2 linked regions of the Saccharomyces cerevisiae S288C genome follow. The protein of the gene in region 1 purifies or fractionates together with the protein of each later gene. This does not show direct contact. Each region holds a gene or a part of one and is shown in the gene's direction. Other genes may lie near its edges.

The links. Proteins that work in one complex are often made in the same cells at the same time.
Region 2: the proteins of YRA1 (region 1) and CBC2 purify together in Saccharomyces cerevisiae (affinity purification with western blotting; 7 studies listed by BioGRID, with this or other methods). This does not show direct contact.

What each region holds. Positions count from the first base shown.
Region 1 is NC_001136.10:1,233,851-1,239,969, forward strand, and holds YRA1 (RNA-binding protein YRA1), read left to right. Parts: upstream 1-2,707; coding exon 2,708-2,992; intron 2,993-3,758; coding exon 3,759-4,154; downstream 4,155-6,119. Other genes in the region: phenylpyruvate decarboxylase ARO10, read left to right, coding at 368-2,275; COI1 (Coi1p), read right to left, coding at 4,462-4,780, 4,975-5,000; ribosomal protein P2 RPP2B, read left to right, coding at 5,642-5,974; NKP1 (Nkp1p), read right to left, coding at 6,110-6,119. UniProt on the Saccharomyces cerevisiae protein: RNA-binding RNA annealing protein. May have a role in pre-mRNA metabolism. Component the TREX complex, which operates in coupling transcription elongation to mRNA export.
Region 2 is NC_001148.4:209,064-213,284, forward strand, and holds CBC2 (nuclear cap-binding protein subunit CBC2), read left to right. Parts: upstream 1-3,094; coding exon 3,095-3,721; downstream 3,722-4,221. Other genes in the region: PPQ1 (protein-serine/threonine phosphatase), read left to right, coding at 1-743; CUP9 (Cup9p), read right to left, coding at 3,979-4,221.

The sequences.
Region 1 (6,119 bases):
GTCGGTTACCTACCGGGAGGGATAACCGCGGATAGCCGTCATTTACCGAAAATTGCCGAGGTCATGCTGAGCATTTGTCGTACTTTTGTGCGGCGGAGCTTTGATACCTTCGGTAAGTGTCGGTATGTAATAGGTTAGTGGCATCTTATTTATTGTGTTGAGTAAAGTTTAAGATATAAACTGGGCTAGTTTGCATCGTCACTACAGCGGCAGCTCACTTTCATTTTTTTTCTGCGTTTATTAATACTACATAAAATCTGATATAAAACATATTTAACTGATCAACCCTCTCAACTTGATACTCAAAACAAGTTGACGCGACTTCTGTAAAGTTTATTTACAAGATAACAAAGAAACTCCCTTAAGCATGGCACCTGTTACAATTGAAAAGTTCGTAAATCAAGAAGAACGACACCTTGTTTCCAACCGATCAGCAACAATTCCGTTTGGTGAATACATATTTAAAAGATTGTTGTCCATCGATACGAAATCAGTTTTCGGTGTTCCTGGTGACTTCAACTTATCTCTATTAGAATATCTCTATTCACCTAGTGTTGAATCAGCTGGCCTAAGATGGGTCGGCACGTGTAATGAACTGAACGCCGCTTATGCGGCCGACGGATATTCCCGTTACTCTAATAAGATTGGCTGTTTAATAACCACGTATGGCGTTGGTGAATTAAGCGCCTTGAACGGTATAGCCGGTTCGTTCGCTGAAAATGTCAAAGTTTTGCACATTGTTGGTGTGGCCAAGTCCATAGATTCGCGTTCAAGTAACTTTAGTGATCGGAACCTACATCATTTGGTCCCACAGCTACATGATTCAAATTTTAAAGGGCCAAATCATAAAGTATATCATGATATGGTAAAAGATAGAGTCGCTTGCTCGGTAGCCTACTTGGAGGATATTGAAACTGCATGTGACCAAGTCGATAATGTTATCCGCGATATTTACAAGTATTCTAAACCTGGTTATATTTTTGTTCCTGCAGATTTTGCGGATATGTCTGTTACATGTGATAATTTGGTTAATGTTCCACGTATATCTCAACAAGATTGTATAGTATACCCTTCTGAAAACCAATTGTCTGACATAATCAACAAGATTACTAGTTGGATATATTCCAGTAAAACACCTGCGATCCTTGGAGACGTACTGACTGATAGGTATGGTGTGAGTAACTTTTTGAACAAGCTTATCTGCAAAACTGGGATTTGGAATTTTTCCACTGTTATGGGAAAATCTGTAATTGATGAGTCAAACCCAACTTATATGGGTCAATATAATGGTAAAGAAGGTTTAAAACAAGTCTATGAACATTTTGAACTGTGCGACTTGGTCTTGCATTTTGGAGTCGACATCAATGAAATTAATAATGGGCATTATACTTTTACTTATAAACCAAATGCTAAAATCATTCAATTTCATCCGAATTATATTCGCCTTGTGGACACTAGGCAGGGCAATGAGCAAATGTTCAAAGGAATCAATTTTGCCCCTATTTTAAAAGAACTATACAAGCGCATTGACGTTTCTAAACTTTCTTTGCAATATGATTCAAATGTAACTCAATATACGAACGAAACAATGCGGTTAGAAGATCCTACCAATGGACAATCAAGCATTATTACACAAGTTCACTTACAAAAGACGATGCCTAAATTTTTGAACCCTGGTGATGTTGTCGTTTGTGAAACAGGCTCTTTTCAATTCTCTGTTCGTGATTTCGCGTTTCCTTCGCAATTAAAATATATATCGCAAGGATTTTTCCTTTCCATTGGCATGGCCCTTCCTGCCGCCCTAGGTGTTGGAATTGCCATGCAAGACCACTCAAACGCTCACATCAATGGTGGCAACGTAAAAGAGGACTATAAGCCAAGATTAATTTTGTTTGAAGGTGACGGTGCAGCACAGATGACAATCCAAGAACTGAGCACCATTCTGAAGTGCAATATTCCACTAGAAGTTATCATTTGGAACAATAACGGCTACACTATTGAAAGAGCCATCATGGGCCCTACCAGGTCGTATAACGACGTTATGTCTTGGAAATGGACCAAACTATTTGAAGCATTCGGAGACTTCGACGGAAAGTATACTAATAGCACTCTCATTCAATGTCCCTCTAAATTAGCACTGAAATTGGAGGAGCTTAAGAATTCAAACAAAAGAAGCGGGATAGAACTTTTAGAAGTCAAATTAGGCGAATTGGATTTCCCCGAACAGCTAAAGTGCATGGTTGAAGCAGCGGCACTTAAAAGAAATAAAAAATAGAAACTTGTGGGCGCAATTATAAAACACTGCTACCAATTGTTCGTTTTCTGTTCATTAACACATAAAAAACCCTTATGTAACTATATTTACAAAGTAAATACGTATATTAAAGCTATTTTACCACTACCACAGAGTTCTTTGTCCAGTTGCTAGTATTTTTTTTTTCGCGACGAGGCAGGGGCGGGGAGACGTGTTGTTTTTCCACGGCTTTCGGCTCACCACTTGAAGAACTATAAAAGGCCGCCAAATTTATCCTTTTTCACTTCTTCCGTTCGCTTTTTTCTGTCATTCCTATCGTGTGTTTAGTAGTAGGTTTTTTTGTTAGAAGAAGTTTTATCCGAAAACTATCGAAGACAAATAGATAAAAAAATCTCCCTCGTTCTATTTGAAACTTTAAGAAATCCATATTAAGAAAATACCTACATCTGCTAAATGTCTGCTAACTTAGATAAATCCTTAGACGAAATCATTGGCTCTAACAAAGCAGGAAGTAATAGAGCCCGTGTCGGTGGTACTCGTGGTAACGGTCCAAGAAGAGTTGGTAAGCAAGTTGGTAGCCAACGTAGGAGCCTTCCAAACAGAAGAGGCCCTATCAGAAAAAATACTAGGGCACCTCCAAACGCAGTCGCTAGAGTTGCCAAGCTCTTGGACACCACTAGAGAGGTCAAGGTCAACGTCGAAGGTTTGCCAAGGGACATTAAGCAGGATGCTGTAAGAGTATGTTAATACGTGAAATGAGAGCTATTTGTTTAGTTACTCGCATCGTCTCGTGTGGATACGAGAAATATTCTTTGTAAGGAAGGATATGGCACACGCTTTTGATCAAGAATTCTCTTTTTAGAGATGAAGAAAGAGTCCGAAATACTTCGCTAGAGAAAATACAAAAAGAGTATCGTTTTCATAAGCCAACCATACCAATTTTTTTCAATACTTCAAATCATGGCCTATAAGGTTGGAATTACCAGCTACCACTGAGAATGGGTTTGTTCTTATTGGCTGGGTTAACTCAAATCAATCTGACTATCTGCTAATCTGTCAATCTTACATTTTTAAGCTGGCGTATTGTGTCGCCTCGACCGTGATAGTTAGTTCCTATTTTTAATAAGCGTATCATCCAATACTGAAGTTGTGGAAGGATCAATTAATTTTGTATCCTTTCAAGAGGGAGTAGCTTTCAGTTTCGAATGGCACCATTTTCAAAAAATAGCTATGGGAAACATGTCTTTCATGAACGTTCGAAAAGATATGAGTGCATCGCTTCATTTTTTTATTATGATAGTTACAAAAATATTTGATTTGAGACACCTAATGAAACCAAAGAGGAACTCACCCATCGTGGTACATGTTTATTTGAGGGTTTATTTTTCCTACGCAATGGTATACTTTTAATACTCTCAACTCCTTGATTGTTTGTGTATTGTCCCTTCCTTCTTTGATTTTATATCATAGAGATATATGACTAACTTTTTTTTTTTTATTATAGGAATTTTTTGCATCTCAAGTAGGTGGTGTTCAAAGAGTTTTGTTGAGTTATAACGAAAGGGGCCAATCTACTGGTATGGCTAACATCACATTCAAAAACGGTGAATTGGCCAGAAGGGCTGTTGAAAGATTTAACGGCTCTCCAATCGATGGAGGCAGATCAAGATTGAGACTTAACCTAATCGTTGATCCAAACCAACGCCCAGTCAAAAGTTTAGCCGACAGGATCAAGGCTATGCCACAAAAAGGCGGAAACGCTCCAAGACCAGTAAAGAGGGGTCCAAATAGAAAAGCTGCTATGGCAAAATCCCAAAACAAACCAAAGAGAGAAAAGCCTGCTAAGAAAAGTCTTGAAGATCTGGACAAGGAAATGGCGGACTATTTCGAAAAGAAATAATTAATTGTCAATTTTTTGTTTGATTTAATTTGGTTTTATTAAATTTAATTTTTCCGAGTTTCATTATGTATTAGTTTCCAGAAAATTTAAAGGATTAAAAAATGTATTAATAAAACTTTGATATGTTTATGTAATAATATTTACCACCGCCACTAGGTGACGCTAACCTACTCATCGGTGACGGCTTTTCTCACTTTTAAAGTTTATTCGGCATATTTGACTCATAATATGTCACTATTTACAGTGCGATGAATATATATATACATAATACTGCATTGAAAAAATGGATAGGTTGATTAAACGTGTGTTACTCGTTTCTCCTCCTATCTAAAAAACCTAATTTGTCACCTCTTTTTCTTGTTACAGCACTAAGCCCGCTACCTTCATATTTACTCTTTCTTACTAATTGATGGTCCTCAGAGCAATCAATGTTGTCTCCTCCATCTTTAGGTATGGGGAACCCTGGTTTGACTTGAGCAAGGTTATCATAATAGTTTTTTTCATTCACTTCACCATTGTTTCCCCGCGCCTTTGGTATAAATTTAGCATCTCTTCTAGCTTTCACTATGGTCTTGACCACATAAATAGACGCAATCCCGGCTGCAGAAATGTATAGTAAATTCTTACTGTTGAAATCGCATTGGTAGTGTTTTCCTACTTTCGTCTTCACTTTGGTTATATATATGGTGCAATCAAACTCTGCTTCAAGGGATAGGCCAATAAGGAAATAACCAAAAAAGAAGTCCGGGAAATAGAAAAAGATATCCAATGTTAGTTTAGGCTTTACGAATAGATGTTTCCCTATTTCTTTTACACATACCCTATATTTTGAAATGGATTTGACATTGTATACTTAGTACGGCTCAAAGAATGAAATATTACTATATTTATCTCTTCATCTGCCTTGATTTTTTTATATGCAAGCAGGACGCTCGGGTTTGTAAGGAGGAAGATTGAAAAGGATGTCTTCAACTAAAAGGCGAAGAAGGAAGCGACACATTTGTGATGCTTTGAGGTCAGTAATGTAATATATATATATATATATATATATATATATTATATAGTGTAACTGCTCTTATTTATCTTGTCTATTCGAACCCAACAAAAAAGGCTGCAGTGGGAATCTGTTCATGTGGCTGTATCACAACCAAGGGCTACCGTTTAAGAATACTGGAGAGCTCTTGTCGTCTCTAATTTTATGATCACGTGCCCATTCTAGTCATTACGCAGGTAATGCGAAAATTACAGTATGGATCGTGTAAAGTTACCAAGCAGAAAAATTGTAATAATTTTCTTTTTCCAAATTTTCTCGGTATCTGAAATTTTTCATTTAAGAGATGATATTTGGACTTACTCTAAACTATTACTTTACGTATCTTTGATTTAACTTCCAGTTACAGATCGTTAAGGAATAGTCCGCGAATTTATTACCGCTTAAACTGATTATTTCAAATATAGAAAGTAATATCTATTAATCAACAACAGAAATGAAATACTTAGCTGCTTACTTATTATTGGTTCAAGGTGGTAACGCTGCCCCATCCGCCGCTGACATCAAGGCCGTCGTCGAATCTGTCGGTGCTGAAGTCGATGAAGCCAGAATCAACGAATTGTTGTCCTCTTTGGAAGGTAAGGGCTCTTTGGAAGAAATCATCGCTGAAGGTCAAAAGAAGTTCGCTACTGTTCCAACTGGTGGTGCTTCTTCTGCTGCTGCCGGTGCTGCCGGTGCTGCTGCCGGTGGTGATGCTGCTGAAGAAGAAAAGGAAGAAGAAGCTAAGGAAGAATCTGATGATGACATGGGTTTTGGTTTATTCGATTAAGGAATTTAATTAATAAACAATTTTCTTGTTTTCCTTCATTTTACAAAATCTGGTGTAAATCCTCGATTCCATTGTGATTTAAAAATAATTAATTACTGTATAAGATTCTATATAGACAATTAATTGAAAATAGTATTACTTCTTT
Region 2 (4,221 bases), on another chromosome or scaffold:
ATGGACAATTTAATGATTTATTGAGAATTTTGAAGTTGTCTGGTGTGCCATCTGATACTAATTATCTGTTCTTGGGTGATTATGTGGACCGTGGTAAGAACTCATTGGAAACAATACTATTGTTATTATGTTACAAAATAAAGTACAAAGACAACTTTTTTATGTTAAGGGGTAATCACGAATCTGCTAATGTCACAAAGATGTACGGTTTCTATGATGAATGCAAAAGGCGATTGAGCTCGAAAGTATGGAAAATGTTCGTTGACGTATTTAATACTTTGCCATTAGCAGCAATTATTCAAGATAAGATCTTTTGCGTTCATGGAGGTATATCGCCCGATTTACATGACATGAAGCAAATCGAAAAAGTCGCAAGACCAACGGATATTCCTGAAAGCGGGCTGGTTACAGACTTACTGTGGAGTGACCCAGACCCTCAAGTAACTGATTGGTCAGAAAATGATCGTGGTGTTTCATACACATTTTCTAAGAGGAACGTTCTTGATTTTTGTGCTAAGTTTAAATTCGATTTAATACTTAGGGGACATATGGTCGTAGAAGATGGTTATGAATTCTTTGCCAGGAAAAAGTTTGTCACAATCTTTTCAGCACCAAATTATTGTGGAGAATTTCATAATTGGGGGGCAGTAATGAGCGTTACAACGGGTATGATGTGTAGCTTTGAACTGTTAAAGCCGCGTGCATTGAAAAATAAAAAGAAGTTATACAAAACCAAAGTGTAGCTGTTGCTAAGATTGGTTTTGCCTGGAAAGCACATTGGTTTTTAGGCCTCTTATCCTTCATTTGGAAACTTTTTGTCCTATGATTTGTTTTTTTCATTTTATTTTTCATTTTATTTTTCATTTTATTTTCATTTAGTTAACATTATTATGCAGTTATTTTTTTTTTTCCCACCTTCATGGCCTCGTTTATGTCTTTTATCAATATATTTTTTACGTTTATAAGTCATTTACTCGACTTTTTTTACCTTTGATATGCAATCATATTATTCTTCCCTCCATTATGGCTAAATAAATGATAATTATAATCTATAGTTTTCAAGCGTTCATATTTTGACAGATAAGATTATGCAACAACTTGGAAGGGCGGAAGGAAGCAAAAAGAAAACTCCGATACGGGGAGTCGAACCCCGGTCTCCACGGTGAAAGCGTGATGTGATAGCCGTTACACTATATCGGACAATAATTGGACAGAAAATTTTGTTAAAGTGTCAGCCTAATCGGCGTAATACGTATATATGTATATTATCTGCATATTATTACGATAATATACAACAAAACGGATTAAAACAATCGGTATATTTCAATTTGATATTTGGGATAAGGTAAAATAAAAACCGAAGATCAGTAAGCTCTTGTTACTTTTTTGTTGGAATAGAGGATCAAGAAGCATTTATTGCTAGTATCCAAATTATTAGTATATCATCATGTTTTCAAAAAAAAATGATGTAAAAATTGAGAAACAGTCACCAGTCATCATGAAAAGTGCACTGCAAGGATTAATAACGTAATAAAACAAGAACGACAGTACATAAACGAAAGAAGAGATAACTATATTATTGTATAGAATTATCGATTCTCTTTTAGAATTCTTTTATTCTCCAGGAAAACTACTTGTACATTCTGTTTAGCTAATATTGTAGCCTTTAACCACAATAAAATGCACTCCAAGTATAACCCAAAATTCATTGTTTTCAAATTTATATTAATGAGATATTGGTAACCTAAACATCAAAAATATTTTTACTCAAATTCTCTTTTCTGAAAACGCTGAAGGAAATGTGCAGGAAAAATGTTTGGCCATCAACTTTTATTCCTAGTACCACAACTAACGTCACATTCTATCGAGGCAAATGCTAATTGGCAACTAACACTATCTTAACGGTTTGATAATGTCAACACAAAATTCACCTATTATTACAAACGAATCTACCGGAAGTTGAAATGCCTGACAATAATCATACAATTGCATGAATAATTGCGAACAGATGGCAGCAAAGGATGAACTAATCATAATTATACATTGCCGCTGTAGGTTTCCTCCCATAAAAATCCAAATTTCCAAGAAAAAGTTCTTGTGTCTTCATACACTTAATATTGTTATCCTTCTTCAAGACCGGACTATATAAAGAAAAAATTTTGTAATGCTATTATATTTCAACTTCAAATTATTTTCTACTAGTAGACATAATGGAACTTCGCTCTCAGATAATCTATGGCGATAGATGGACAATTGACAATCTTCTGAAAGAATTTATATAATAAGATGTGACCATGACCTAAACCTGCTCACGCTCATGAAAGGATACAGGTAATTTGGCGAAACATTCCCAAGCTTCGCTGATAGACCTATCCCAGAAAGTGTCTGTTTAAAACTACAAGTATTTGCAGTTTTCGTTATCCAGTTTCGTTCAAGAGCATTAATGCACAAGCCACTTATATTATATAAATTTAAACTTTGGGAAAATATCATACACCTATTGTACCAGTAAATGTTGGAATAAAAATCAACTATCATCTACTAACTAGTATTTACGTTACTAGTATATTATCATATACGGTGTTAGAAGATGACACAAATGATGAGAAATAGTCATCTAAATTAGTGGAAGCTGAAACGCAAGGATTGATAATGTAATAGGATCAATGAATATTAACATATAAAATGATGATAATAATATTTATAGAATTGTGTAGAATTGCAGATTCCCTTTCATGGATTCCTAAATCCTTGAGGAGAACTTCTAGTATATCTATATACCTAATATTATAGCCTTAATCACAATGGAATCCCAACAATTACATCAAAATCCACATTGTCTACAGTAAAAGTATACCACTAATAGATTTGTAATTGGTGTATGAAGTAGTGTATGGTATAAACGTTAATAAGTGCTTATCAAAGTATTACCCGCTTTAACAGTTTTTGTGTTTTTTTCAAGAAAAATATTATATGTATGAATATAGAACATGAGTTTATATGGAGAAAGTGTCTCGACAGCTTTTAAAGTCCCGAAAGGACTAATATCGAATAAAAGTTGCATCCATTAATATACCAATAAATAAAGGGAAAGATGTCCCTGGAAGAATTTGACGAAGTTAAATATGATCATTCAACTAAACGCCTAGATACACCATCAAGGTACCTGCTGCGCAAGGCTAGAAGAAACCCTAACGGGCTACAAGAACTGCGTGAGTCGATGAAGTCATCCACAATTTATGTAGGAAATCTTTCCTTTTATACATCAGAAGAACAAATTTACGAATTATTCAGTAAATGTGGCACAATAAAAAGAATAATTATGGGTTTGGACCGTTTTAAGTTCACGCCATGTGGCTTCTGTTTTATTATATATAGTTGTCCAGATGAAGCATTGAATGCCTTAAAATATTTGTCCGATACAAAGTTAGACGAAAAGACAATTACCATTGATCTAGATCCTGGTTTTGAAGATGGAAGACAGTTTGGTCGTGGTAAGAGCGGTGGTCAAGTCAGCGATGAATTGAGGTTCGATTTTGATGCATCCAGAGGTGGCTTCGCCATTCCATTTGCAGAGCGTGTCGGCGTACCACATTCCAGATTTGATAACAGTAGCTCACAATCTAATACGAATAATTATATCCCTCCTCCTGATGCAATGGGTACTTTCAGACCAGGTTTCGATGAAGAAAGAGAAGATGATAACTACGTACCTCAGTAGAATCAATCAATTTATATCTGAGAAAGATTCTACACACAGATATATATATATATATATATATTATTGTATATATACATACCTACATTATTTTTAAAGGCTTGCATGATGCTGTTATGTAAAAAAAAAAAAAAAAAATCAGTGTAACATAATAGACGTAACACGTTCAATGACATGATAATACTATATATAGTAACGATAAAATGTAAATGGTAATAGATATAATTATATGAATATTTAAGTAATGCATTGATAAGTGATCAATTCATATCAGGGTTGGATAGCTTTTTCAATTCTTCCAGCCTATCAATTAGTTTTTTACGGCGTGTAACGGGGGCATGAGCAAATCTCTTGGATAATTCATAATCCGTGGAGCAGGTTGACGTAGCATCGTACATAGTATTATTTGTGGCAGATAATGTGTTATGATATGCTGAGACGTTTTGAACTCGTTCCACTGGGGTATTATTCGCGTTGTCATTAGGAATTGAGTTTACCAGGGT